Tamandua tetradactyla: one gene and its partners. The protein of the gene in region 2 interacts with the protein of the main gene of each other region in a biochemical or structural test. Links are inferred from orthologs where the notes say so. Each region holds a gene or a part of one and is shown on either strand. Other genes may lie near its edges.

The links.
Region 1: the proteins of PRMT1 (region 2) and HABP4 form a complex in vitro, tested with the Homo sapiens proteins (2 studies listed by BioGRID, with this or other methods). The link is inferred for Tamandua tetradactyla from reciprocal best matches to the Homo sapiens genes PRMT1 and HABP4.
Region 3: the proteins of PRMT1 (region 2) and BTG2 form a complex in vitro, tested with the Homo sapiens proteins (2 studies listed by BioGRID). The link is inferred for Tamandua tetradactyla from reciprocal best matches to the Homo sapiens genes PRMT1 and BTG2.
Region 4: of the proteins of PRMT1 (region 2) and FBL, one has a biochemical effect on the other in vitro, tested with the Homo sapiens proteins (2 studies listed by BioGRID). The link is inferred for Tamandua tetradactyla from reciprocal best matches to the Homo sapiens genes PRMT1 and FBL.

What each region holds. Positions count from the first base shown.
Region 1 is NC_135328.1:123,551,307-123,558,508, forward strand, and holds the start of HABP4 (intracellular hyaluronan-binding protein 4), read left to right. Parts: upstream 1-4,196; 5' UTR 4,197-4,313; coding exon 4,314-4,668; intron 4,669-7,202. UniProt on the Homo sapiens protein: Ribosome-binding protein that promotes ribosome hibernation, a process during which ribosomes are stabilized in an inactive state and preserved from proteasomal degradation.
Region 2 is NC_135342.1:11,469,583-11,477,058, reverse strand, and holds the start of PRMT1 (protein arginine N-methyltransferase 1), read left to right. Parts: upstream 1-4,469; 5' UTR 4,470-4,484; coding exon 4,485-4,715; intron 4,716-5,024; coding exon 5,025-5,180; intron 5,181-5,330; coding exon 5,331-5,394; intron 5,395-7,151; coding exon 7,152-7,294; intron 7,295-7,476. UniProt on the Homo sapiens protein: Arginine methyltransferase that methylates (mono and asymmetric dimethylation) the guanidino nitrogens of arginyl residues present in proteins such as ESR1, histone H2, H3 and H4, FMR1, ILF3, HNRNPA1, HNRNPD, NFATC2IP, SUPT5H, TAF15, EWS, HABP4, SERBP1, RBM15, FOXO1, CHTOP, MAP3K5/ASK1, MICU1 and NPRL2.
Region 3 is NC_135330.1:60,644,328-60,651,194, forward strand, and holds the start of BTG2 (protein BTG2), read left to right. Parts: upstream 1-3,857; 5' UTR 3,858-4,008; coding exon 4,009-4,162; intron 4,163-5,540; coding exon 5,541-5,875; 3' UTR 5,876-6,867. UniProt on the Homo sapiens protein: Anti-proliferative protein; the function is mediated by association with deadenylase subunits of the CCR4-NOT complex. Activates mRNA deadenylation in a CNOT6 and CNOT7-dependent manner. In vitro can inhibit deadenylase activity of CNOT7 and CNOT8.
Region 4 is NC_135342.1:24,172,080-24,179,453, forward strand, and holds the start of FBL (rRNA 2'-O-methyltransferase fibrillarin), read left to right. Parts: upstream 1-4,373; coding exon 4,374-4,500; intron 4,501-7,374.

The DNA of each region.
Region 1 (7,202 bases), on a different chromosome or scaffold from region 2:
CCATGCCACCTGCCAGCTCATGGGGCTCCAGGGGTTCTGGGTCAGCCTCCAGGCTGAGCCCCAACTTTGCCTGCTAGGGTCAGCCGCCCTCTGTGGCTGAGCCCCACCTCCACAGCCTCTGTCACCTCCGTCACCTTGAGAGCACATGAGCCCCACCAGTCCCAAGATGCAGCAGCAGGCGCAGACCCAGAGGAGCTGCTGTCAGAGTGGGCTGGGGGCCTGTGCAGCTCAAGGGTGAGCCAGGAGGCCAGGTTGTCCATGGCAGCTGAGGAGGGGGGAGGAACTGATGGAGGTCGAGGGGGGCCAGGGGGGCCCAGATGGCAGGCCAAGGAGTCCCAACTAGTGGTCACTTGCTGGTTCTGCCAGGCAGACTCAGGTTCCTGTCCACAGTCACCAGCAGGTGGAAGGGAGTGGGAGCCCCTGGACTCGACCCCACTCCTGGTACCAAGTTGTATTAGTTAGGGTTCTCTAGAGAAACAGAATCAACAGGGAACACTCAGAAACATAAAATTTATACAAGTGTCTCATGTGACCATCAGAATGCAGAGTCCAAAATCCGCAGGGCAGGATGTGAAGCCAATGATTCTGATGGAGGTCTAGACTAACTCCAAAGCAGTAAGAGAGCCTGTCTCTTCTGAATCCTCCTTAAAAGTCTTCCAGTGATTAGATTAAGCGTCACTCATTGCAGAAGACACTCTCCTTGGCTGATTACAAATGGAATCAGCTGTGGATGCAGCTGATGTGATCATAATTTAATTCACTGAAATGTCCTCATTGTAACAGACAGGCCAGCACTTGCCCAACCAGACAAACCGGTACCACCACTTGGCCAAGTTGACACATGAACCTGACCATGACACCGTCTAATCAAAAGTTACTACCCACAATTGGGTGGGTCACATCTCCATGGAAACAGTAAAAAGATCCCACTCCACAATACCGAATGAGGGTTAAAGAACTTGACTTTTCAGGGGTACAAGACAGTTTTAAAACAGCACAGGAGGCATAGTAGGTCATTAAAGGACAAACTCCTATCTATCTGTGTCATGGTTAGGGACAGGTGTCAACTTGGCCAAGTTGTGGTACCTGTTCATCTGATTGGGCAAGCGCTGGCCTGTCTGTTGCAATGAGGACATTTCATAGGATTAGGTCATGATCACGTCAGCTACATCCACAGCTGATTCCATTTGTAATCAACCAAAGGGGAGTGTCTTCTGCAATTAGTGATGTAAATACAATCATGGGAAGCCTTTTAAGGAGGACTCAGAGGAGACAGATTCCATTCCTGCTTTGGCTGGTGAGCCTCTCCTGTGGAGTTCATCCAGGCCATCCATCGGAGTCATCGGCTTCGCAGCCTGCCCTGTGGATTTTGGACTCTGCATTCCTACGGTCACGTGAGACACTTTCATAAATTTTATATTTGCAAGTGTTCCCTGTTGATTCTGTTTCTCTAGAGAACCCTAACTAATACAATCTGTATAGCCCCAGTTTTTGCAATTCTACACACAAAGTGCACTCTAATTAACCTGACTTTTCTGATCTCATACCTGTGACTCTTTCCATATATGTAGTTTTCCTTGGGATGGCTTAATCATTCATCAAAGTTCTCATCAAAAATTCTCTCCTTACTGTATGTAGCCTTTCCCAACTCATTTTCCTTAATCTTGTGACTGGAGGGCCATGAACTGTTAACACTGAGAGTTTGTCAAAGGGCATGTGACTAAAGGACTTCCCAGTGGAAGGTGAGTGGCGGTGGTATCTGAGCCACTGTTTTCCACAGCAGCTGTACCATTTTACATCCTCACTGCAAAGTACAAAGCTTCCTGTTTTTCCACATTTTTGCTGACACTTCTATTTTCTGTTTTTAAAATAACAGCCATATTAATAGAATATGGAATTTAATTTTAACACATAAAAATTATCTGTCAAGAGCATATGTATACCAGTAAGAGTAAGATGTGTCTTTATGCTAGAGGTACAGGACTTACAAACAGTGAAAGGAAATTGCTCAGAAAAATTCTGAATTTTAGGAGGAAAAGTCTCATGCGCGCCAGTATAGAAAATTTTCTTTGCCATTTAAACTGAATACATGAGAACCAGGAAAAAAAAAAAAAAAGCCAAACAGTTAAGTCCTGTTGTTCCTGGGAAGAGCCTGCCAATGCTAGGACATTTCTCTGAATTGCTAACTGTATACTTTATGAACATATTTTTAATCTTGTATGTTTTTTTAAAAAAAGCATATGTCAGCCAAAAACTAAAGGACAAATACTGTATGGTCCCACTGATGTGAACGGACATTCGAGAATAAACTTGAAATATGTCATTGGTAACAGAGTTCAGCAGGAGTTAGAAACAGGGTAAGACAATGGGTAATTGAAGCTGAAGGGATACAGACTGTGCAACAGGACTAGATACAAAAACTCAAAAATGGACAGCACAATAATACCTAATTGTAAAGTAATCATGTTAAAACACTGAATGAAGCTGCATCTGAGCTATAGGGTTTTTTTTTGTTTTTGTTTGCTTGTTTGTTTGTTTGTTGTTGTTTTTTACTATTATTACTACTTTTATTTCTTTTCTTTATATTAACATTTTATATCTTTTTCTGTTGTGTTGCTAGTTCCTCTAAACCGATGCAAATGTACTAAGAAACAATGATCATGCATCTATGTGATGATGTTAAGAATTACTGAGTGCATATGTAGAACGGTATGATTTCTAAATGTTGTGTTAATTTCTTTTTTTTTTCTTTCCGTTAATAAAAAAATAAAAATAAAAAATTAAAAAAAAGCATATGTATACAAATATGAAATTCATTCATTCATACAATTATTCCCTGAATGAAAGGTACCTTTCCAGGCACTGAGAATGAGGACAGAAAGAAGGGAGGGAAAGGATATAGAATGAATTAGCTAAGATTTCTGGCCTTAGGGAGGAGAAGTAAGGAGAAATAATTATAATTCAGGGCAAAAACAGTCAAATGCTATGAGATGTACCAATAATGTTGTTCAGGCTAATCATCACCTACATGGAATAATTTGTTAACCTGTGTAGCATCAACCCTTCCCTTTCGGAACTAGAAACCTTCTTTTCCTTGGGGAAATCACCTTACCTGCACCCTCACTACCTGTGGTTCAGGAGAGCTGACTTCACTCAGACTCTAAGCTTGGGTGTGACCCAGGACTGGCTGATCAGAGAATTAATTATATGCCCCTCAGTATAGCAACTGGGTCAAAGTTGTGCACGTGACTCAAGACAGGCCAGTGATGCAATTCGGGACTTCATATTTCGTATTAGCCTATTCCTGCACCAATTACTGGCAAGGGGGTGGTACTATAACGCATGATTTACGATTAATCATGCTTGAGGCTGGAAAGGAGCTCAACTTAATGATGCCCAAACAAAATACAAGTGCTGGAAATATGGAAGAGGGACAGGAATGGCTATAAAACAGGCAGCCAAGAGTGTCTGCCATAGGTGTCCAGGCATGATTTCCTGAAGGGAGTCCAGGCCAGGGCTTTCCTCTGAACTCCAGCAACTGACTATATCAAACCTCAAAATGTTCAAGATTGAACTAAATGATTCTCACTAAACTGGCCTCTTTCAAGGCTCTATTCCTTTAGGAGTAGCACCACCATTTTTTCTTTCTTCTCTCTCTCTCTCTCTCTTTTTCACTCACTTCCTAAGGTATGCCTTTCCAGACTTCATAATCAGGTCAGGTTCTTTTGCCCGTGGAGAACACTGTGATTTTCCTTCAGAGCAACTTTTTCTCAGTCTGCAGAAGACACGGAGCTAGTATCTCCTACAACATCAAGCCTGGCACACAGTAAGTGCTCAATAAATAGTTGCTGAGTGGCTAAATGAATATAAACCTCAGAGTGGTCGATAACGAATGTAGAACCAGTGTCCCAGAGAACACCTGCAAGGGGCTATTCGCACCTCCCCGCCCCTGGACTGCCCACCTCCCTTTCTCCTCCCAGTAGCTCCGCCCCTTAGCCAGGGCCCCAACCCTCCGCGGAATCGGAGGGGGAGGGGCAGAGAGTGCGCATGACGTGACAGCGGCCGGCCGGCGATTGGGCTTCCAGGCTCGCCGGCGAGGCAAGGGGGCGTGTCCGAGTGATCTGATTGGCTGTCGGGCGGTGGTTGGGCAGGTTGCAGGGGCTGCGGCGCGGGGGCGGGCGTCCGGCGGGCAGGGAAGCGGGCGGGTTAGGGAGGGTGGCTGTGGCGGCGGGCGGGATGGGTCCTCGCCGCCGGCTTCGCTGAGACTAGTTCGCGTGGGCTGCCCGCGGCGGGCCCGCAGTGGCCGCGGAGGCATGAAGGGCGCTCTGGGGAGCCCCGTGGCCGCGGCCGCCGCCGGCGCCACGATGCAGGAGAGTTTCGGCTGCGTCGTGGCCAACCGCTTCCACCAGCTGCTGGACGACGAGTCGGACCCGTTCGACATCCTGCGCGAGGCCGAGCGCCGGCGCCAGCAGCAGCTGCAGCGCAAGCGGCGCGACGAGGCGGCGGCGGCCGGGGCTGGCAACCGCGGCGGCAGGAGCCCCGCCGGGGCCTCGGGCCACAGACCCGGCGCGGGCGGCGTCCGGAGGGAGTCCCAGAAGGAGCGCAAGAGCCTCCCGGCCCCCGGCGCGCAGCAGACGGACAGCCCCGGGGGCGGCCCGCAGCCGCCCGGTACGCGGTCCCTGGGTGCCCCCGGTAGGCGTGGGGGGCGGGAAGGGAAGGAGCTGGGGTCACGGAGGTCATCCTGCCCCAGCCGCCCCTGGACCCCCACTGTGAGATTGGGTCACTGGAACCACGACCCAGAAAAGGGAGGGAGCCCTGGGAAGAGCTGGGTCGAATTTGAGAGTCCCTGTGGTTGTGGATAGGAAAAGAAGACCCAAGTGGGTGGTGGTGTCCCGCCCCTTCAGGCCTTTCCCACCCCGTTTTATTGATAGGGAAGGGGTGGAGGCTTGCAGGTGGGGGAGGGGGTGTCTCGAAGCCCCGAAACTGAGGCTTTAGGACGAGTTGCACAAAGTTGACAAATATTGCTGGGGTAATGTGTGTGGGGCGAAAACTGGGGGCTCCTGTCCCGGAGCTGTCAACTCGAGAGCTAGCAGAGACCATCTTCCTTCTCCAGCACGACCTCCGCAAGGTTCAGTTCTGGAGGCAAAAAGAGAAGCTTGAGGGGGAGGAAGGGGCGCCCCTCTAGGAGAAGGTGGGGGAAAGGGGGGCAAGAGGAGTCGCAGGGAGGCCGAGGCGAGGGGCCTCCAGGCCTCTGTGATGGAGGGAAGGCCGAGGTGCCCGCGGGGGGCCGCCCTGTGACGTCAGGGCCGCGGTGCTGGACGCGGGATCCCCGGCTTCTTCCACGCTCAGCCCTCGCACAACCCCACTCGGTAGCTTCCAGAAGTCAGCAAGCATCAGTTTTAAGTACATCACGTATGTTGATGGGATGTGTAACTCGTCATTAACTCTGGGCTACTCTCAGGATACCGTCTTTAATGTGAACAATAATGCTGGAGCCTCCCTACGCCCTGTTTAGCAAGAAGGGCTGGGGAAGAGCTTGGAGAGCTACTGTCTGCATACAGGGAGTGTACTTCAGAATTCATCTCCCTCACCGAAGTGACAGCAGTGCCTTAAGAAAACCACCTGCGTTTCCTTTGTTTTTCTGAAATAAGGCAATGGTCCTGAGGTTTGCAGCAAAAATAGTTAACGTTAGGATGTATAGTGTGTTCAACTCGGTTTACTGATTTGTTCCTTTCTTGATAGAAATTGTGCGTTAGATTATTGAGAGAATGCCTGTAGGTGTAAGTATAGAGCATTAACTTTAGGAACTAGGTGATGATTTAACTTTATCTGGAAAGTTGAGTCCTGAAGTGTCACTTGAGAATCAGAAAATCGGGTCATTACAATAAAGATGTTGAAAATTCCCAAAATTGCTCTTGGGTATCTCAGGACTTCTTGTTAGGCCGGTAAGTTCATGAGCCTATTTAAACAGTGAGTGAGACTTGAGATATATTTTACGTTTTGTGTTATGTTCTATATTTCTCTCTTAAATGTAAGTGAGGATAGATAGCAATCAGAGTTATAAACTAAAGATTTGAGGAAGGCTAATTTTTTCCTCTCCCCGTTTCTAACATGTGAAAATACTCATTCTTTCCTTTAAAATAGTATGAAACTGCATTTAACGGTATCTGTTAATATATTTCATTTTACTTTTTAAAAAAATATTAGTCATATATTTTGTTATAAAAATTTTGAGCAATTCAGAAATGTATGAAGTAAAGTGAAAATCGTTTATTTTCCCTACTATTAACAGCTTGCATCTATATATGTGAGTTCACAGAACTTTTTTTTTCACTTAGTTTAAATTGGGCAGGAACCTGCTTCTTTACTTGACATTATAACCTAGCACACGTAGAACTTTTTTTTCGACATGAAAGTGAAACATTAATCCCAAGAGGATGTAGAAATGAAAGTTTTCCCATGAAGACTTAGGTTTTAATATCCTTGACCACCTGTCTAACAATATACGTAGACCCTTGAGTGAGCCTTGGAAAATAAGTTCATACTTCAGGTCAACAGAGGCAGCTTCAGCTTTGCTTTTCCTTTCAGAACTCTGATCTTTGAGCCAAAGCTCACTTTTATTTTGTAAAAACCTCACTCAGTTTTATTGTATTTTGTCCCTTCACTTGGGCTTGGGTTTAGATTAGTGCCAGCTTTTTATTAGAAAGGGTCAGTGAAATGAAGAGCTTGCATTATCCACTTGGAGCTGCTGATCTAGCAAAAAACAAACAGACTAGGTTCAGTGCCATTTGTGATCTCTTAACACTAAGTTATGAAAAAATTAATTGAACCCTAGTATTTTTCTTTTGGGGGGGTGCTGGAGGGAGAATGAAATGTTTACAGGGTATTGATGATAAAATTATTTTAATAGCCAATTTTTACTTAAAAGTCCACAGTTTGTTCCATAGTTTGGAAGAAACTTTAATATAAAATGTACAATAAATGTTGCATTTTAAGTGTTGAATACTGATGTCCCAATTGATATAGTAAGAAGAAAATGACTTGGAGGAAGCAGAAAGAATGTGGGATAAGCTTCTGTAATTCTGTAGTTGAATAGAAATGTTAAAAACTACAAGTTGTAGACAGGAAATGTATTAGAATAACTACTTTTATATTTTCACAACAGGTAAATGTCAAAAATTGTCATTGTTAACATATTTTGC
Region 2 (7,476 bases):
AAAATGAAGCCCATAATAGCTCCTGGCCCAGTGGGCTGCTGGGGGCACGATTGCTGGTGCCTCCTAAACGCTCTGGTAAGCCTGAGCTGTACTTGGCCATAGTTATACAGTGACAGTTGCAAAGAAAGGTGAGGAAAAGTCAGTCCCGCAAGCAAGGGAAGAAGGCTCTGCACAATAGCGCAGCACAGTGGGGGCGCTGGGGGCACTCCTCCCAAAGTGGGGGTGGGTGGGAAGTCCCTCTTCGGGGACCCCGGAAGAAGGGCGGCTGTAGGGGGTGACACAGCTCAAGAGTGTCGTGGAGACGGACTGTTACTAACCAGGAAATGGTGGAAATCTCAGCGGGGAGGAGTTCGCTAAGGGGGAGTGCATGCCAGGACGTCTATTCTTTGCAGAGGCCCGGAGATATTACATCCTGCACGTTAAGGGATTGGAGAGAAGTTAGGATTGAAGAAGGTAGGGGGATAGAAGCCAGGAGAGACGGGGTTCACGAATTCAGTCCTTTTTACCTATCTTAAACGAGTAATTTTTCTTGCACGTCCAGGAAGGCTTCTTGGAGGAGGTGACGTCTAGGATTCTGCCAAAGGGAGGCGGTGTTCCCGCCTGAAGGCAGGGCTTGGGCAAAGGCCAAGAACCTTGATGGGGGGTTGAGGCGGTTAAAAATTGGAACACTTAAATAAAGGCCTAGGGGTTAAATGCTTTGGCGTCTGAGCCCTACTCTTAACTTGTTAGGGGACCCCAGACAACTCTACCCTCTCTCTGAGCTTCCCACTGCTTCAGTGTTTCCCTTAGGCAAACGGGCAGCGGCTCCCTCAGTCCTCCTGATTTCTCCTGGGGTGGGAAAATCCTCCGAAGACAAGACGAGTGACAGTTCCTTTAAGCCGATCACCGGAGCTCACAATTCTACCCTCCTCCGTCGGGGGCCAATCGCCTTGCTCTCCTTGAGGTCTCTCCAGCCCACAAGAGGCGGCTTAAAGCCTCGTGACGTCACCTTTCGTCCAAACCAATGGCAGCGATCAAGTTGCGGGCAGTCTTGGTGACGGACAGATCTCTTTTAAGATGTCCGCTTAGCGCAGGGCCTGCCGGGAAGCTTTGAGACGGCACTTAATGGGAGGGGGAGGAACTGGGCGGGAACTCCTGGTTGACTCTGCCCAATCACCGCTCGCTCTTCTTGGGATGGACGGACAGTCTTCCCCATCCCGGACGACTTGAGGGGGCGGGGCCTTGCACGCCAACTTGGGAGGGCCCTTCAGCCTTGATAGGCGTCTATTCCACCCAATTGCCAAACGGCATTCCCGGATCGGCCGCCTCCACTGCCAATGAGATCTCCTGACCGAGTTGCTGTGGGCGGGCCGTGGCCCCTCCGGTATAAGGCGATCCCGGGGGAGCGCGGAGAAAGGGGGGGGTCTCGGCGGCCGGAGGAGGAGTAGGTGCGGGCGAAGATGGCGGCAGCCGAGGCCGCGAACTGCATCATGGAGGTGAGCGTCTGGCGCGCCGCCGGGGCCGAGGGAAGCCTGGGGGTCGGTGCCTTATGCCTCGGTCGTGGGGAAGGGACTCCGAGTCGGCGGGTTGGAGCTGGAGGCGCTCAGCGGGACGGGAGGGGGGCGCATGCCCGGGATCCGAGGGCACCGCCTGATGGGGGGGGGGGGCTCCAGAGCTTTCCGGGACCTGCGGCACCGCCGAGTCGAGGGTTTCACCCCCCCATCCCACGTGGATGAGGGCTGGGGGCGCTTCCGGCCGGGCCCCCACGTGGCCGTGGATGGGGAGGGGGTGTGCCGTGCCCGGTGGCCCCGCGGGTTCCACGTGCGGGACAAAGGCCCCGCCCCCGGCCGGGGGAGGGGCGCTCCGGGGGGGTGGAGAGGAGGCTCCGACCCTGCCTTGGGGCCCCCAGCACCCCCTCGCCGGATCCCGGGACCCAAACAGAACCTACCTTAGGGCCTTCCGCGATGTAGGGGATCTCTTGGGTGGGGCCGTGCTACCCGACCCTTCACTTTCCCCCCTCCCCCAGGTCCGGGGGCATCTGCTGGGGCGTCGTTTCAGGTTTTGAGTCCTCTTGCTTGCGGTTGGAGGAAAACGAAGAGTTGGTCCCCCACCGCATTCGCTTCCTGTGCCTGGACTCTACCCCGCCTGGGGCTTTATGAACTGGGGGGGGATGGGGCATGCCCCTGTGACCTCCCCGTGGGTGGGGGTGCGTCTCGATGGAGGAGATCATTCCCGATAAGGCCCCTTGCACCCCCTTGTGGCCATTTCTGGTTGTGGGCGGGATCTCTTTTTCATGGGGCGTGTCTCCAAGTCCACCTCCCCCTTAGTGCTTGCCCGGGCTAGGTGGGGGTCGGGGGGAGTGTGTCTGTTGAGAAGGGGGTCTTTTGAGGATATAGGCTCCGAGCGTTTGCCCTCCACTGGTGCCCTTTCGCTCCTTGGGGCATCTGTGAGGTGGGAGACGACCTGCCTCTTCTCCTAAGCCCCCGTGTGTATGTCTCCAGCCTGGATTCAGGAAGTGATTTCCATGGATACTTGATTCTTGTGTGAACGTGTGGTGCCATGGCCGTGTTTCCAGCCTGCTGGGGCTGTCTGGTGGTGGTGGGATCAGTGGTTTCGGGAAATGGGCCCCAACAGGAAATCCCCACTCCAGCTGCCCTTCTCACAGGTTTCAGAGAGGGCTTAAGATTCGGGGCCCAAGGTATTATGGCCTGTGGCTGTGTCTTTCCTGGAGCCTGCAGGGTGGTCACATGTGGAAGAGATGTTGTCTGATGGTGCTCCCATACCCCCACCTCTCACTGCATATAGCCATCCCTGGAGTGTGGGATCAGGGCCCGAGATGCATGTCCATGGCAAGCAGCGCCCCGGGGGCCACTCATTTCTTTTCCCCATACAACCCAGACCCAGGAGGTAGCCAAGGAGGAGGGGAGGCATATCTCCCCCAGAGCTTGCTTTACCTGGGGGGTGGGGGGTTCAGAACTGAGATGGGTGTCTGAACCGGAGAGAAGGGCTCAGACGCCCCGGGCCCTAGCCTGGAGTCCCCTGAATCTGGCCCTGTCCCCTGGGACACTACCTGCTTGGGGAGAGGCTAAAAAGGGGGGAGGGTTCCTTCCAACTGGTTTTGTTTGGCTCTGTCACAAGTGCCCATGTGCCACACCTCCTTTCTGGAATCCTCTCAGATGAGAGATTGTTTTGCAGAGGGGGCTGTTGCCCAGTGGGCACACCCTGCCAGCATCCCCCCCCCCCCCGCAGCTATTCCTGGTACCTTGGGGTGGGGGTGTGTGTCAGAAGGTGTCACCTAATCTGGGGGATTAGATGCGGGGAGTGACAGCTGGCAGTGCCTGTGTGCCCGGCGGTGCCAGGTCCTTTGGCATGGATGGGGGAGGTGTGTAGGCAGATGTCTGACTAGTGAGGGGCAGTGAAGGGATGGGCTGCCATCTCTCCAGCCACAGCTGGGACAGGAGAACCCCTTTGCTTTCCCCCTACCTCCCCCTCCCATTTCTTAAACAGCCCTCCCTCTTAACTTGTTACTTCTGCCACCTCTCCCCACCAAGGAAAAGGAAAATAGCAAGAACCCCCACTCCACCCGGAGCCCTGGTGCCCAGTCCCCACCCCTGGCCTGGCCCTCCCCCTACCACTCCCATTAGCTAATCCTTTCTCCCTGTTACTCTCTCCTAGAATTTTGTAGCCACCTTGGCTAATGGGATGAGCCTCCAGCCGCCTCTTGAAGAAGTAAATATCCTTTTGTGAGACCCCCTTCCCACCTCCATATAAATACATCCTGCCACACATTAGACCTTTTCCCGTGCTTCTAACCATGATCCCTTTGGCTTCAAACCAGGTTACCCTGTGCCCTCCAAACCCTTAGTACACTTCCCTCCAGGTTGGTGGCCCCCGGCTGGCCTCCTCCCATATTGTGGCTACTTCCTTAACTCCACTTCCAGCCCCCCTTGGCCCTCCCCTGTGTCTGCCCCACTTCTGCCTTCCCCTCCCCTCCCCAGCTGTGGGCTGAGCTAGAGACGGGGGCAGAGAGACGGAGAGATGGTAGGCGTGGCTGAGGTATCCTGGATGGTGCTGGGGGGGGTCTTGGAAGAGAAAAATGGGGGTGCTAGGGTTTGGGGTTCCTGGGGGAGGCAGGATGGCAGGCGGGGGCTCTAGGGTCGCCCTGGTAAGACTGGTGTGAGGGGAGGGGAGCTCTCTACCCTAGGGAGAAATAGGAACCTGGAAGTCGAAGAGGCCGTGGGAGCCCCCAGATTTGACCCATGCTCCCATCCACCTCCTCCCAGGTCTCCTGCGGCCAAGCAGAAAGCAGTGAGAAACCCAACGCTGAGGACATGACATCCAAAGATTACTACTTCGACTCCTACGCGCACTTCGGCATCCACGAGGTGAGCGTGGACAGCTTCTAAGGAGGGTGAATCCCACGCGGGTCAATGCCCGGGAGGGGCGAGGCTTCCTTTCCCACGCATGCGTGCAGTCTTCCCTGTCCCCGTGCCGCTGGTCTGCGCATGCGAGGCCTCGCGGGAACTGGGGGCCTCTCCTGGCGGTTGCCTTGGACACCGAAGTTAGCCCGGAGTGGGGCCGCGTTAGGGAAACTAGGGTGGAAGCGTGGAAGCGCGCATGCGTGCCCAAGACTTCAGCCCAGTTCTGGGCCTGCTGGTCTCTGCCGCCCTCTCGTGACTACTGGTGGGACTGCAACTCCAGCTGCTCATTCCCGTTTGCAGATTGAGGATGTGGAGGTCCCAGAGCACAGCTGGGCTAGTTTGGTGGGGGGACTCTTTTTTTTTTTTTTTACATTAACTGAAGTCATTTTAAAGCCAAAGATGGCTGAGGCTTAGGTGGTCAAATTCAGCTAAAATGAGAGTTTGATCCATTACACCTGGTTTTACGAACAGTGACTGAAATGGACAGAAAGGTCTTATTCCACGGGGACTAACACGTGGGAGGGCTACGGTTGGGCTCTCCAAACCGTCAGCGTGTTGGAGGCCAGGCCACCCCGTTTTGCACACGGGTCCCCTCATGGCGTCTTTGTGCCCCGCCTCCCCCAGGAAATGCTGAAGGACGAGGTGCGCACCCTCACCTACCGTAACTCCATGTTCCACAACCGGCACCTGTTCAAGGACAAGGTGGTGCTGGACGTGGGCTCAGGCACGGGGATCCTCTGCATGTTCGCTGCCAAGGCCGGGGCCCGCAAGGTTATCGGGGTGAGTCGGAGGGCGGGCAGGGGGTTGGGGGGGGCCTGTTGGGGCAGGGGACGAGGGGGGGCCTGGGGGACGGGAGGGCCTGGGGGGGCCGAGGGGGGGTGGGAGGTGGGGGATGGGGGGGCCTCACCCTCCCTTCTTCCTGGACCCCAGATCGAGTGTTCCAGCATCTCTGACTATGCCGTGAAGATTGTCAAAGCCAACAAGTTAGACCACGGTGAGCCCAGGAGGAAAGCGGACTGGTGGGGACGCAGTGGGTGACTCTCAGATTCCCTAGGGCCTCAGCCAGGGGGTGGGGGCCACTGATGGGGCACATGGGCAGCCGTCCCTTCCCTGGGGCCTTCTGGGCTGGCATCGGGCTGAGAACCCGTGACCGCTGGCAGCGGGAGTGTGGTGCCGGCTTTGAGTGGCGAGCTCATTAGCGCTTCAGTCTTAGTGTTAGGGCAAGGAGCAGTCTCTCATCTCCTGACTAAGTCTGAGAGTCGTGCTGAGTGAGGCGTCTCCCGTCTGTCCCTCAGCTACCCTTCTCTGAGTTTATCTATTACCTTCCAGCAAAATCTGAACCCACAAGGAAATATATATGTAAATGTTTGTGGGCAAATGAACATAGTTTTCACACAGATCTCATCTCATTCAGCTTTTACTCTTTATCACTTCGTTTATTGTAGTAAAATATATGTCATGAAAAATGACAATTTAATTTTCTTTTTAAGTGTACCATTCAGCGGCATTGGGCGTAGTCACAGCATTGGGCAGCCATCACCACTATATATTTCCAGAACTTTCCCATCACCCCAAACAACCCTCTGCCCATTAAGCAGTCACTCCCCTTTCACTTCTCCCCTGGACCCTGGTAACCTCTGATTTGCTTTCTGTCTCTATGAATTCGATGGCTTTAGAGATTTCATATATATGGAATCAAGGTGTTGGTCCTTTTGTGTCTGGACTGCCTCCGCAGCCCATCTCACATGTATCTGTACTTCATTCCTTTTTATAGCTGAATAATATTCAGTTGTATGGATGGAAAGCTCCCCATTTGTCCATCTGTTGATGGAACTTGGGTTGCCTCCACCTTTTGGCTACTATGGATAATGCTGCAATGAACAGTGGTGTGCAAATATGTGCCCGAATCCCGGCAGTCACTTCTTTAGGGGTATATACATAGGAGCGGCATTGTTGTGTCATAGGAGATTTCTTGGTCTAATGTTTTTTGGAATTGCCAAACTGTTTCCTGTCTTTTTTTTTTTTGCACCTGTTCATGTCTAGTTTTAACAAGCTTGCGGATGCTGAGAAGTGTCCTTTTGTTTTGTGACTGCCGTTCTGCACACACCTCACCTTTTTTAACCCTGTTCATGGGCGTGTGAGCCACTTCTGAAATTTCTGTCCCCTGAACATCTTGTCATTCCACATTTATTTTAAAATGTGAATTAGTAAGTTGGTAGATGTTGCCAAATTGCTTTTGGTGGCCATTCCACTTGCATTCCCAGTGGCAAGGCTGAGCATGCAGGAAACATTGGAAAGCAGTAGGTTTGCTGAGTGTGAGGGCTTGCAGCATTCTAAGAACCGGAGTGGTTTTCTTTTTTTCTAAAGAGACGAGTGTAGGACCCCATCTCTCAGCTTCATGCTGAAATAAATCCCAGCTGTGACCTCGGCTCACCTGTAAATCCTGTGTATGTCTCTAGTAGATCGGGCCTTTTGAGAAGCATAACCACACCGTGACTCGTTTGTTACATGTTTCCCATAACATATCCCATAATAATATAACCTTACTGTCTGCTGGCCGGTCTGTGGGAAATTTCTGCAACTGCTTCAACAACGTGTAGGACTCAGAGGGACCAGAGTGATGGGTGAATCTCAAGGCACAGTTAGCAAGCTCTGGCTTCAGAGCAAAGGGTTCTTGGACAGTGCCCCAGTCCCGCCCCCATGGTACCTAGGGAGGGGCCTCGGGGGGCTGATGGCCGCCCCCTCCTGCAGTGGTGACCATCATCAAAGGCAAAGTGGAGGAGGTGGAGCTGCCGGTGGAGAAGGTGGACATCGTCATCAGCGAGTGGATGGGCTACTGCCTCTTCTACGAGTCCATGCTCAACACTGTGCTCTATGCCCGCGACAAGTGGCTGGTGAGGGCCCTGCGGCTATGGCGGGCAGCGGACAGTGGACAGAACTGAATGACATTGGCAGGAGGGCGTTAATGCTGGAGGAAAGCAGCAGGCCTGAGGGACGCGGAGGGACTGGGAGGTGGCAGTTTTGGGGCCCAGGGCCGAGCAGGCCTCCCCAGGAGGTGAAGGGCTTGGGGGATGGA
Region 3 (6,867 bases), on a different chromosome or scaffold from region 2:
CTCTCACTGCCAAAATGTACACCCCAACCAAACATCCACACTCCACAAAACATTCCCCAGTATATACTGCTATATTAATATCTGCAAACATATATCCTTATTTTCTCCTATCTACAAATTTCCAAGCATACATACACATTTCAGCACTTAGATGCACTCACATACACTGCCCTCCCTACCTGCTCTCTCTCACACACACACACACACACACACACACACACACACACACTCCTTTAAAAAAAACACATCTCATCACCTTGTTAGTCAGGATGTAATGGAGAGGCTGGAGGGAACTGCCTGAAAATGTAGAGCTGTGTTCCAGTAGCCATATTTCTTGAAGATGATTGTATAATGATATAACTTTTACAATGTGACTGTGTGATTGTGAAAACCTTGTGTCTGATGCTCCTTTTATCTACCTTATCAACAGATGAGTAAAACATATTGGGGAACAAATGCTAAAATAAATTTAGTAGCTTGAAATGCTAGTGAAAGGGAGGGGTAAGGGGTATGGTATGTATGAATTTCTTTCTCTTTTCTTTTTATTTCTTTTTCTGAATTGATACAAATGTTCTAAGAAATGATCATGATGATGAATATGCAAATATGTGATGATATTGAGAATTACTGATTATATATGTAGAACGGAATGATCATATGTTAAGAATGTTTGTGTTTGTTTTATTTTTTAAAAAAATTAAAAAATTAATAAAATACACATCTCACAGTGTAGGAGTGAGCTGATGTCATCCTCCTGGAATAACTCAGCCCAGCCTCTGCCTGCAGATCATCTTCACTCAGCTTCAGGTTTCTACGTGTGGTCAGAAACTCAGAGGTAACCTTGGCAACCAAGGCTTTGCAGGCACCCATCAGGGAGCTGGGAAAGAAAACAGTCAGGTAAAATGATCTGGATGCAAACGATCTGGATGCTCTTGACTGGGAAGTGGAGGGCAAGGCCTGTATGATGAGCCCACAGACGGCCAGAGCAGAGGTTTGGGCGAGGGACCCAGATCTAGGGAGGATCTGGTCTGAGAAGGGCAGCTGTATGGGCAGCCCACCTGTGTGGCCCATGCAAGTGGATGAGATGGGCAACCAGGACCAGAGGAGCCAGTGAGTCTGGGGTCATGTGCCTTAAAAGAAACTTCTGGTCCAAGTAAGGCATAAACTGAGTTCCACCCTCACCCCCACTGGTACCACATCCATTTTTTAGTGGGTGCAGACACAGTGTCAGAGCATCTAATGTTCAAAATTCAATTCAAGGGCCTTGGCCAGAGAGAGAAGGAGGAGAGGAGGAGAAGTAATAGAAGAAGGAGAAGATGGTGGAGGAGGAGGAAAGAGGGGAAGCATAGGAGTAGTTTGAGGAATTTTCAAAACTTATTTGAACTATGATATATTCAGTGTAATAAGAAACTGACTTGAGAACCCAAATCCTGAGCTGGGTACAACTCATTATTTGGGAACTTTAAATATGGGTAAATTTAGCTTCCTCTCCTTAGGCTTATATGTAGAAAGAAAAGAGGATGAGAAAGTGGGGAAGCAGCCCTCTGGTTTTTATGGATTACCTATGCCCCATAATAGGTTCTACCTAATCACCAATGATAAGGCTAGGCAGACCCTGGAGTGCCATAAGGGCTTCCTGCTCCTGTCCCAGCAAATGCAGGATGTTTCCCTCCCCCCACCCCCCACCTCCATTCATTGCAACATCATCTGGAATAACAGCTCTGTGGGACCACGGGCCATGGGAATAACAGCACCGGGGCTCCACGGTCTGATGGTAAGGACATTGTAGTCCAAGTCCGCAGACTCGGTCCCATTTCTGACTGTTGAGAACTAGCTGCGTGGTTTCATGAACAATATCAAAATGCACATAAGGACAGAGTCATATTCTCTAAGGCAAAGCCCAGGTGATGATCTGTCAGAATATTTTTTTTCATCAATTTTGCTTGCAGGCATTGTAGGGCCCAGAACACCAGACCCCTGTCTAAGTAAGCCCAGGTAGACAGTCAGTGTTTTCAGATTTAGGTACTAAGTGACACGGTACACCTGCCTATACCTTGACCAGTTTCCCTGACTTCTTTAGTGGTTGACCTTGGTCAACTCTGGTCTTGCTGACACCTTGTCTCTTTGGTCTGATGCACCTCTAGCCTATCTTGTTTCTAGTCTCAACCCTGGTTCCTGTAACATATCTTTTTCCCCTCATTAAGCACAGGAGTCTCATCTGGTTTGATCCAGCTTCAAGGAAAAGTTGACAAAGAAGCCAACTAGAAAATGTGTTTAATTCCAAAATATTACAATTCCAGGGCATTTTGATGAGTTATAAGAAGAGGTGGGACACATGAGCTGTACTTTAGGAAGGGATATCTATTAATAGTAGAAAGAGTGGTTTGGGAATAGGATTGGACAGAGACCATGGCAAACATCTAGTAATGAAGAAGCAACAGTTCATGGGACTGGATCTGAGGAGCAAAGCACAAGGAGAAGCCAGAAGTCAGTCTGAGTTTTCTGGCTGGAGGTCTTGGGAAATGATGGTGTCTCTGATAGAAATGGAGACCAGGAAGGGAGCTCACTTTGGAGAAGACACGGAGTTTGGCTGACATTGAGATGGTGGCAGGACTTCCAAGGGGAGGAACAAAGCAGGTGTGGGAGGAACAGGTTGAAAGGATAGAGGGCACAGTATCCAGATTTGAAAGTCAACTGTAAATCATAAAAATAAAAATGGACAACCTGAATTAGATCTATTTGAGGAAAGAAAACTGAGAGAAAAGGACTAAGGGTTTAGCGATGGGCACAGGGTTGAGTAGGCATCCCAGGAAGGCAAAGCCAGGGGAAGAGGCAGAGAACCCAGGATATAGTGTCAAAGAAACAGGGTGAGACGGCTATCAGAAGAAAGTGGTCAACAGGGCCAGACATGCCTGCCCAGAGAACAAGGAAACTCCAAATTCACAGAGGCCATAGGATTTGATTTATTTAACAAACATGTACGGGGCATTTATGTATGCTAGACCCTCGATTCACTATGAGGAAGGAAGATCAGCTGCAGGGAGAAGGGCAAGGATGGGAGGTAAAGATGTGTGCAGCTGAGTGCAGACCACTTATTTAAAAATGTTGCCATTTAACGGAAGGAGGGAACTAGAAAAATAGCTTGAAGGGACAAAGAAAATCTTGTAACACTCCCTGCACTTCCACCCGCCAGACAGGTGAGCCTGAGATGCTTCTACGCAATAGAAAAAAAAAAAATTGGTTGAGAGAAAAAGCAGAACTTGTTGGAGGAAGTGGGGCTGTTGTGGAAATAAACAGAAAGTTCAATCCTCATTTTCGAAGAGCCGAGAGGAACCCCCTCGGATAGCTAAGAAAGGGCAAAGTGGTGAAATGGTGACAAAGCGTCCAGAAGAGTGGTGCTGACGGTGCGTGGTTGGAAAACGCTATGGGAATCATAAAAGGGAACCGCTTGGGACAGGTGGTACCAGCGAAGGCTTCTCGGAGGAAGCGGCGTCTAACCTGAGCCTTGAAGGATAGTCGGATTTTGGAACGGTGGACAGGAGAGGTCAGGACATCCCCAGCGTGGAGCAAATTGGGAGCCCTTTACCTCCGAGGTGAACTTTCAGCTCCGGCCCCTTCTTTCTGCACCAGCCTCCCTCTGCTCCCAAGCTCAGCTCGGGTTCCCAGCACTGACGTCAGCCGACGATGACCTCACCGCCGAGGAGGCCGCGGGGGTGGCAGCAGGGGTGGCGGCGGGGGCGGGGGCTAGCGGCTGTGCGCGGGGCGGGGCGAGGCGTCCGACCTAGCCCCCATCCGCTTGCGGCGGCCAATGAGCACCGCCGCAGGCTCCCCCACCTCCGCGAACAGTATGAAAGGCGCGGCTCGCGGGAAGCCCAGGCAGAGTCCGAGCTGCGGCTAGGCGAACACAGGGTACTGCGCCCGTACGTCCGAATTCTTCCGCCTAGCGGCGCGTCCCATCCAGAGACCTCTCACTGCCCCACGCCGTGTCCTTCCCGAGCCGCGCACGATATGAGCCAGGCTCGCTGGACCGGGAAGAGAACCGATATGCTGCCGGAGATCGCCGCCGCCGTGGGCTTCCTCTCCAGCCTCCTGCGGACCCGAGGCTGCGTGAGCGAGCAGAGACTTAAGGTGTTCAGCGGGGCTCTCCAGGAGGCACTAACAGGTGAGCGCACGCCGAGGATCCCGCTGCCTCCAGGGCTCGGCCCCCGTCCCTGCCCGGGGCGCCTTTCCTCTCTCAGGGCCAAGTTGCCCGCGCGGGCAGCTCCGGGACTCGGTTTCCGTCTTGCGGCCCCCGGGGCAGCCAGCAGCCCACCGCCCCCAGGGGCACAGCTCTCCTCCCCCGCCCTGCGCTCTGGTCTCAGTTGGTGGTGGTTCTGGTTGAGCGCCTTCTCCGCCGTCCTGGGGTGCGAGACCGAGTCCCCAGCTTATGTCCTCCGAAGAGCGGGTTCCAGCGGGTCACGGTGCGGATTCGTCGCTTTCCTGGGACCTTTGAGACCTTGAGACACTTGAGGGACGCTGAGGGTAACAAAGCGCGGCCGCCCGAGGCGTTCCGTTTGGGAGAAGAAGTCGCAGTTGAGCCATTTCAACAACTTAGAGATCCTTCCCTGGCTCTTCCCGCGGGTACGGCACTGCGCTGTGCCGGGCCAGTCTCGCTGCTGTTGACTCGCTTGAAGTAGGAATCTGGGCCCCTTGAGTTCCTTCTGGTTCCCCTTAGCCATCTGCCTCCTATTATGGTACCCGAGTGAGCCTCATAGTTAGTAACTCTTCGTAACCACGCTCCACGGGCATGTGTTGGAGTGGGTGAGTTGAGGGAGGTTGAAAAGAGATAAGCAGCCCTCTGGGTGGGAGAGGACTCTCTCCCAGCCGATTCTAGCCGTTTGGCTGTGTTGGCTGGCTGTCCCCAACCGCAGTAACCATCTCTGAACACGCTCACACATATCCTCTCTTCTGAGGAACAACAGAATGTTTTGTGAAACAACTCATTTTTTCATTCCCTTAGTGACTGCTAAGGTTCTCTGATTCTGGGGCACGCAATGGGAAACCCGTGACGTGGCTGTGGACCCTGACATTGTTGAAAGCCTCTGTGTCCTAGATCCAGCCCCACATGCCAGACCCTGTCACACCCCTCTCTCCTTAAACCGAGGATGTGCCAAAAACAACATACTGGCCACTACAGAGAGACCCAGAGCTCTTGCACTGTCCCCCTTCCCCCGCCCCATCCTCCAGTATACACAGGCATGCACACACACACACACACACACACACACACACACACACACACACACACACACACACACACACACACACAACTGTCCCAAAAGAGAGAGCTCTACAGCTCTTAAAAAGTTTTCTCTGTTAGAGTGGCAGGAGGATTTCAGGAGGGTCCTGGAGCTCTGGAGAAACTACTTTGTTTATTTAACCTCACTGGGTCCCTTTCTCTCCTCCTGGCCCCCTGTCTTGACCCCCACCTTATAGTAGCGCCCATGGCCCATGCCCATTTGCTCTAACCAGAGAATCTCCCTCTTGTCCCCTCTCTGCAGAGCACTACAGACACCACTGGTTTCCTGAAAAGCCATCCAAGGGCTCTGGCTATCGCTGCATCCGCATCAACCACAAGATGGACCCCATCATCAGCAAGGTGGCCAGCCGGATCGGACTCAGCCAGCCCCAGCTGCACCAGCTGCTCCCCAGTGAGCTGACCCTGTGGGTGGACCCCTATGAGGTGTCCTACCGCATTGGGGAGGATGGTTCCATCTGTGTCCTGTATGAGGAGGCCCCAGTGGCCACCTCTTACGGGCTCCTCACCTGCAAGAACCAAATGATGCTGGGCAGGAGCAGCCCCTCGAAGAACTACGTGATGGCAATCTCTAGTTAGATCCCTCCTGCCCCCAGCCTGGCACTCTCCTGTGCTCATTCTGCCGTGACAACAGGCCGCTGCATACCTCAACCTGGGGAACTGTATTTTTAAATGAAGATCTATTTATATATATATTATTTTTTTTTAAGAAAAGAGAAAAAACCAAAAGTTTTTTTTAAGAAAAAAATCCTTAAAGGGAGCTTCTTCGAAGGGGCTTCCCCAGGTGCCTTTGGAGAGAACTGTTGTGCACTTGAGTCTGGGAGCCAGTGTCTGCCTGTGGGAGGGGGAGTGGTTGGAGCAGGCCTGGCCAAGGTGAGGTGAGAAGCTTGGCCAGCACCCCAGAAAGATGTGAGAGGGAGCAACAAGGTTAGCAACTGTGAATGAGAGTGGTCAGGATGTGCCCTGGTGCAGGAAGGGAGACTCAGTTCAAACCTCTCACTCTCCCAACTTGGACACCTGCATCCCTGACCCCACTCTTAACTCAGGGGCATTCAAGCTTGGACTTAAATAATACTATGTTGCCTATTATCTCCTCTTTTTCTGATGAGATCCTGAGCAGAGAGTGAAAAGGCCTCTCCTTATTTCTTCTGTTCTAAGCAGCTTTTCTTGAAACCATGACTTGTTTCTTAGTCTACCTTCAGGGGCTTGTAAATATTGCTCCCCAGACTTCAGTCTAAAACCTTTTGTATTGGTTTGGGGTGTAAGGCTGGGCTTAGAGGTCTTTTGGGGGTGAGATGGAAGGGAACTCTGCACAAAACCTTTGCTTTGCTATGTGCTGCTCTGTGTGTATGTGTGGCCAATAATTTGGGGGTGATTTTGCAATGCCATTTTGGGACCCAAAGAGTATCCACTGGAGATGTTTTTTGGCCAAAACCCTTTCTGGAACCATACATAAGTTCTGATGCTGCTGCTATTATCCCATTGATAGGTGAATCAAAAGCTACAGGGAACTCTAGGTCCTTTATCACTGCCTTCTTTTCAAAAGCACAACACTCCTTCCCCTCTCTAGC
Region 4 (7,374 bases), about 13 Mb from region 2:
GAACGCGATATTATGTACATCCTGAAATAGGCAGTTGTGGTAGTTGGATTCAGGTGTCAGCTTGGCTAGGTGAAGGTGCCTAGTTCTATTGCTGTGGCCATGAGCCACATGTGAACCTCATCTGTTCCCGATTACATCTGCAATCAGCTAGGAGGCGTGCCTGCTGCAATGAATGATATTTGATTTAATCGGCTGGTGCTTAAATCAGAGAGCTCAACATAGCACAGCCCAAGCAGCTCAGCCCAGGCCTTTGGAGATGCAGAAAGCAAACACCCCGGGGAAAGTTGTTGGAACCCAGAGGCCTGGAGAGAAGGAGAGAAGAAGCAGAGATAGCCCTGTGCCTTCTCACATAAGAAAGAACCTCAGTTGAAATTTAGCTGCCTTTCCTCTGAAGAATTATACATTAACTACATAAATTCCCTTTTATTGAAAGCCAATTCGTCTCTGGTGTGTTGCATTCAGCAGCTAACAAACTACAACAGCAGTACATGGCATTACCCATGAAATATTCTTGCTTCTCCACTCCCCACGCCCACCCACCCTCCAAAAATAAATTGAACTTGACTAGAATCAAACCTTTGGTTTTGAGTTCTGGTCTGCAGGAAATACCAGGGGAAAAGGAACAGGTTAAATGAAAACATGAAGAAGCAATTGGCCACATCCAGACTGCAGAACATATGATAGGACAAATGATTCAGTTTATTCAACAGCTCAATGGCATTAAAAAAAAAATGAATTGGGGACAGTTTTGGAATAAAAGTGACTGAATGGCCAGGAGGGAGACTTTGGGGGTGCCAATTATGGGTGATGTTCTATTTGTTGACCTGTGGTGGGCAGGTGGGTTTCTTTTTGTGGTAACTCATAGAGCTGCATGCATTTTCCAGGCAGTTACATGCACTTTTCTCTGTGAATGCCATACAGAGAAAAAAAAATTTTTAATATATAAATTATAATTTCTGAAGATTCTTGACCAAAAAAATGTGCGTGAATTTGCATGTGTACGTGTGAGAGAGAAAAAACAACCAAATACAAGGAGGGGAACTTGTCTGGATCTTGATTTGAACAAATCAAAAATTTATTAAAATCACATTTTTTTAGACAATTGAGGAAATCTGAATATGAACTGTTTATTAGATTACATGAAGGCATTATTGTTAATTTAGTTAGGGGTGACAATGTAAGAAAGTGTCCTCTTTTTTAAAGAGATGCATACTTAAGTATATGGGGGTGGGTGACAACATATTGATGGTTGTTGAGGCTGGGTGATGAATACATGGGGTACTTTTTAAAAATATATTTTTATTGAGAAATATCCACACACGTACAGTCCAACCATATTATACAATCAGTGACTCACAGTGTCATCACATAGTTGTGTACTCTTCACTATGATCATTTTTAGACTATTTGCATCACTCCAGAGAAAGAAAAAAAAGAGCACATGCATCTCATACCCCTTACCCCTCCCTCTCATTGACCCACAGTGTGGTAGTTAGATTCAGTTGTCAACTTGGCCAGGTGAAGGCACCTAGTTCTGTCGCTGTGGACATGAGCTAATGGTACGTGAACGTCATCTGTTGCTGATTACATCTGCAGTCGGCTAGGAGGCATGCCTGCTGCAATGAATGATGTTTGACTAAATTGGCTGGTGCTTAAATGAGAGAGCACAACATAGCACAGCCTAAGCAGCTCAGCATTCCTCATCTCAGCCCTCACAGCTCAGCCCAGGCCTTTGGAGATGCAGAAAGAAGTCATCCTGGGGAAAGTTGTTGGAACCCAGAGACCTGGAGAGAAGGCCAGCAGAGACCATCCCGTGCCTTCCCACATAAGAAAGAACCTCAGTGGAAAGTTAGCTGCCTTTCCTCTGAAGAACTAACAAAATAAATTTATTAAAAGCCAATCCATTTCTGGTGTGTTGCATTCCGGCAGCTAGCAAACTAGAACACACAGTATTTCAGTCTACCCAATTTTTACCCTTTATCTCCCTGATTATTTATTTATTATCTTTATTTTTTTTTCACTCATCTGTCCATATCCTGGATAGGAGCATCAGACAAAAGTTTTCACAATCACAATCACATTGTAAAAGCAATATAACTATACAATCCTCTGGTATACAGTTCAACAGTTTCAGATACTTCTCTCTAGCCTCTCCAATATACCATAAACTAAAAAGAGATATCAATGTAATGTATAGGAATAACCTCCAGGATAACCTCTCGCCTCTATTTGAAATCTCTCAGTCACTGACACTTTATTTTCTCTCATTGCTCTCTTCCCCCTTTTGGTCAAGAAGTCTTTCTCAATCCAGTGATGCCAGGTCCTGGCTCAACCCAGGGAGATTTGCACCTCTGGAAGTTTCATGGGGGACTTCTAATTTTTGTTATAAATTTTTCTTTAAATCCATCAAGTCTCCAGGGTCCCAATTCAATAGCCTCTGAAGAGTTCTGCACACTGGTTCTAGTTTGGGTTTTCAAATTTGAAATGTGTCCCCAACACCAGCCCTTATGACCCTACCATGGCCTTTCTTTGCTTACTTCAATAAATATGTTTGAGCACCTACTATGTGCCAAGGTCTTGTTCTGGGCACTAGAGACATGGTGGGGAAGAAGACAGAAATGTCCTTTAGGAGCTGATATTGTACTCCAAATCATTAAGATGGTGATAAGGGCTGTGATGTGCTGGAGGGATCTTAGGCTAGGTGACCAGGAAAGCCTCTTTGAGGAGGTGACCATGGAGCTGAGTCCTGAATGGGAAAAAGAAACAAAAATCTGGGGAAAGAAGATTCTATGCAGACCAAACAGCAACTGCAAAGGCCCTGAGGTGGACCTGAATTGAAGCAAGGAGGCAGGTGTGGCCGGGGTGCAGGAAAGTAGTGGGAAAGGAGATGAATGCAATCCTGAATTAGAAGCATTTGAATTATTGTACCACTCCTAGAAATCCAGAATAGACTTAGCAATATTATCCTGTAGTTCTGAAAAGCTTAAAAAATTAAAAAATTTTCAGGAACATTTCCGTGCAAATTGGTGGCATTGCACAGCTGAAACACCCTCCTCCTGAGAACTCAAAACAACCTAAGTTCACTCATTCATTCAAAAGCATTTACTGAGCACCTACTCTGTGCCAGGACTGTTTCAGGCCCTGAGCGGCACAGCAGTGAATGAAACACTCATTACCCAGGAGCCTACAGGTTAGCGGGCTCTCCTGGAGGTTGTCAGTAACTTCTCAGAGTAGCATTTCCATTTTACTTGGTGGAATGGATACAAGGGATAAACATAAACAGCAGAAAATGACCGAACACCATTCTCAATACTTATGCAGAATCCTTGGCCCCCACTCCAAAGCCGTTCATCCTTGCTTCTACCTGGACCATTGCAGCCGGCCTGTCTCTACTCTTTCACTTCCATCCTACTTCCAGTCTGTTTCCCACTGCAACCGGAGCCCGCCCCCGTGTAAGATCATAACCTTCCTTTGCCTAGAGCCTTCTTGTGGCTCAGTCTCACTCAAGGTAAAAGCCAAAGTCTTCCCCGTGGCACACGAGGCCCCACACAATCTGCCCGTCACCTCCCTGCCCGCATCGCCTCCCACTCACCCTCTTGCTCACCCTGCTCAACACACTGGCCTCTTCATCGTTCCTCCAACATCCCATACCTTTCCTGCCTTCGCACCTGCAGTAGTCCCTGTTGGCATTCTTACCTCACATAGGTACAAGTCTCACTCCTCACCTTCTTCAGTTCTTTGCTAGTCACTAGATATATTCCTTAACCACCCTATTAAAAAAATGTCACCAACAGTCCCTATCCACTACTTATTTTCCGTTATTTTCTCCAAAGCACTCATTGCCTTCTAACATTCAACACGTCTTACTAACTTGTTTGGCATCGTCTCCCCTATTAGAAGATGGGCTTCGGGAGTGTGGAGCTTCTATGTTTTGTTCACTGCTGTACTCCCAGCGCCTAGCACAATACCTGGTATATACAAGAATCACAATAAATGTTTTTTGACTGTATGAGCGGGAGCCCAGAGTCGGTCCTATGCGTCTCAGCGAGAGGAAACAGGCCAAGGGAAGGCTTTGGGGATGGAGGGGGATTTTAGTAATTACCTAGGAGTAGAGCAGAGGGACAGAGAGAACAGTCCATGCCAAGGTTTGGGTATGAGCCCCGATTAGCGGGGACTAAGGCGACGAGGGAAGCACGTTTAGGATAGAGATCACAGAACGGTAAAAGACAAGAGGGCATGAAGCCCGAAAGGAGGCGGTGTCGTTAGAGTGCCGGGGAGCCCGCCCACTACGCGCGCGCGCGCGCGCGCGTCTCGGGGCTGGGCTGGGACTTCGAAGGGGCGGGGCTGGGGCTTCTAGGGGCGGGGCTGCGTGAATGCGTCATGCGCCGTGCGTCGCCGTGCGCCTGCGTTCCTTTTCCACGTGCGAAAGCCCCAAACGCGGGGAGTGGGAGCAGCTGCACACCCCAGACTCGAGCAGCTTAGGGCTCGCCATGAAGCCAGGTTCAGACCGGGATTGTGGTTGGGGTCCGGGACCGGGGCCAGGCCGGGTACCCGGGTGCCAGGCCGGAATCTGAGGGGCGGGGCTTTGGCCTGGGGGCAGGAATTCTGAGCCCTGGACTAGTCTGTTGAGGGTCGGGGGTCGTGGTTCGGGTCTTGCGTGAAGCGAGGGTATTGATTTCTCCCTAGGGTCGATTGTGAGGCGGAAGTCGAGTTTCTGGTCGGGAAATTTGGGACTGGCTTCGGAGGTCAAAGTTGTGAGTCGAGGGTCTTGGACCAGACATTGGGAATTCCTGCATGGAATTTGTTTTTGGTTTGAGATCTTTATGGGTCTTGGGTATTATTGGGCCAGAGGCGGTAGTCGAGGTCCTTAGCTAAAGTTTGGACCCAGGTACCTGGGGTTTTAAATGTCTGGACGTTGGTTTGCGGAATCTGTTTTGGATTGGGCATGAAGAGACCTTGATCTTCGGTCCTTTAGCTGGTCTGGGAGGTCCTCCATTTACCTCCTCTGTCTCCGCCGCCCTATCTTCTTGGTCCCCAAACCCAGTTTCTCAGAGAAGGCCGAGAGTGGGTGAGGATTCCCTGCTTGATAGTGTGCGGTTCTCTCTGGTCCAACTTTCCTGCTCTCTCCTGTTCTTGGGAGCCGGTCCCGGCAATGGAATGGAGATTATAGGTATCGCGATTCCCATTTTAGCGGTGAGATGGAGCTCGATAAGTCCAGGATTGGTGGGCCGGCGTAGGGTAGTGACAGCGCAGGAGTGGTTTCATTCATTTGCTTTTCCCAGAGATTCTGATGGACACACCCCTGCTTCTCGTGGTAGAAGAGAGTCCTGGCTTTGACAGCTGAAGGGATTCGCTCAAAGTTTCAATCCCGGCTCTGCTACTTAACCTACTGTGTGACCTCGGGCAAGTAGCTTTACTTCTCTGAGCCTCAATAAAATGGCACCCAGTCAAGATTAAGTGAGATTAGCATAGAGTTTGACATATTATTACTTGGTGTTGGCACCAATTGTTAGCATTTTCAAGGGAAACAAAATCAGGGTCTTTTTTTGGTTTCTCAGCTCTTCTTGTGCCCAAGTTGCCCCTCATCCCTTCACTGTTGAACCAGAAGGGGCTTTTCCTATTACAGTTTTTTCTGTTTTCTTCCCTTTTTGGGGGGCGAGAGGGGGTGTTGGAGAGAAGATGAAGTCATCTGGGAGGATTTGGATCCATGCCCTCCTTCCAAGCTCCCTTTCTCTTCTATGTTTGCAGATCTCCTGAACTGGGGTGGGGAGTGGTAGGTTGTGTATATTTAGGCCCTGGCATGCCTGCAGGCATCCTATAGTCTATGCTTCCCCCAGGAATGGAGGATGTGAAGTTGGAGAAGTTGTTAAGAGCCAGCACTTCAGTAAAGATTTTAGTCTGAGAGAGAGGGGAAAGTCTTTGGGAAATGTTGAGCATGATGCAGTGTGACTCTTTTTTATCCGACATTTTTGAAAGGGATCTTTCTTCTGTGTAGAAAAGAGACTTGGAGCAAAAGCAGAGGCAGGCACATTGGGGTGGGGGAAGAGCCAACAGATAGTTATGGCTTGTGAGAGAGGCATCAAGGATACTGACGGTTGAATTGTGTAACTGGAAGGATGAAGTTGCCATTTGTTAAGATTGGAAGATTGTGGTAAGAGAGCCAATTTTAAATCGGGGACCTATGTAGGAGATCCCCCTCCCCTAAAAAAACACGAAAACCTTCCAGAAATGAGTAAATATAAGTTTTTCTGAGGAGTGAATGCTTTTAGTACAGCTTCCTAAGAGCCCTAGGACCTGAAATGGACTAAGATGTGTTTGGAGTGTCTGGGACTAAAAGATAATACTGGTGTCACTGCATCCAGAACGTCCACAGTTCCCAGGTCTCTGCTTTCCTTCTTTCAGGCCTGGTTGAGAGTCTCATAGGCCTCTGAGTAATGGAGAGAGGGAACTCGTTCACCTGAATATGAATAATATTCAAATTGTGTGCCAGACTGTACTTCCTATCTATCAAGTCATGTAATCTTTACAGCTTGATGAGGTGGGCTCCATATTATCTCCATGTGTCTGATTTACAGATGAAGGTTTTAAGACTCCTGCAAACCTTCCCTGGCATGACCTCTGTCTCCCTGTATGGGACACCTGAGCTGCTTGAGGGGAGGGGCCAGGGCTCTCCTTACTACCCAGTCACCTGAGCAGGATCCTAGATCATCAGCAGTCATCAGTTCATTTAAGATTTATAGAGTCCAAACTTGGTGCCAGCAATTGTGCGAAGGTACTAGGGGTGCAGGAGTGTCCAAAACAATTCAAAGCCTCTCTCATTTTGGGAAGAGACAGGTAGTAGCAAGTAAATATATTTAAAATGCTGTGTGCATGCACTGATAGGGTAAAAAATGAAGCCGGGTAAATAAGGGTAGGGTGGTCAGGGAAGGCCCTACATTCAGGGACCTGAATGGAGTGAAGCAACCGAGCAGATGCCTGCAGGAGCCAGGCAGCAGCAGCCGCCGCTGATGGTACAAGCCTAGGAATTGGAGTGGACTTGACAGTCTGGACATAGAGGGAGGTCAGAGAAGTTGTTAGAGGCCAGATCCTTAGGGCAGTGTTCTCAATTTGGGCTCCACCCCAGACAAATTAAATCAGAATCGTAGCTGTGGGACCTGGGTGATTCCAAGGGATTAGCGATGGTTGGGAACCATTGGCTTTATAAATTGAAGAAAGGACTTTTGATTTCATTTTTTATGTGATGGGAAACGGCCTGGGGGATTTGGGCAGGGAAATGAGATCTGCTTTGCTGTTTTGAAAAGACCACTTGAGCTGCTGTATGGAAAGTAGACTGTAGAGGGAGTAGAAGATAAAAAGTAACTCGTTCCCTTAGTT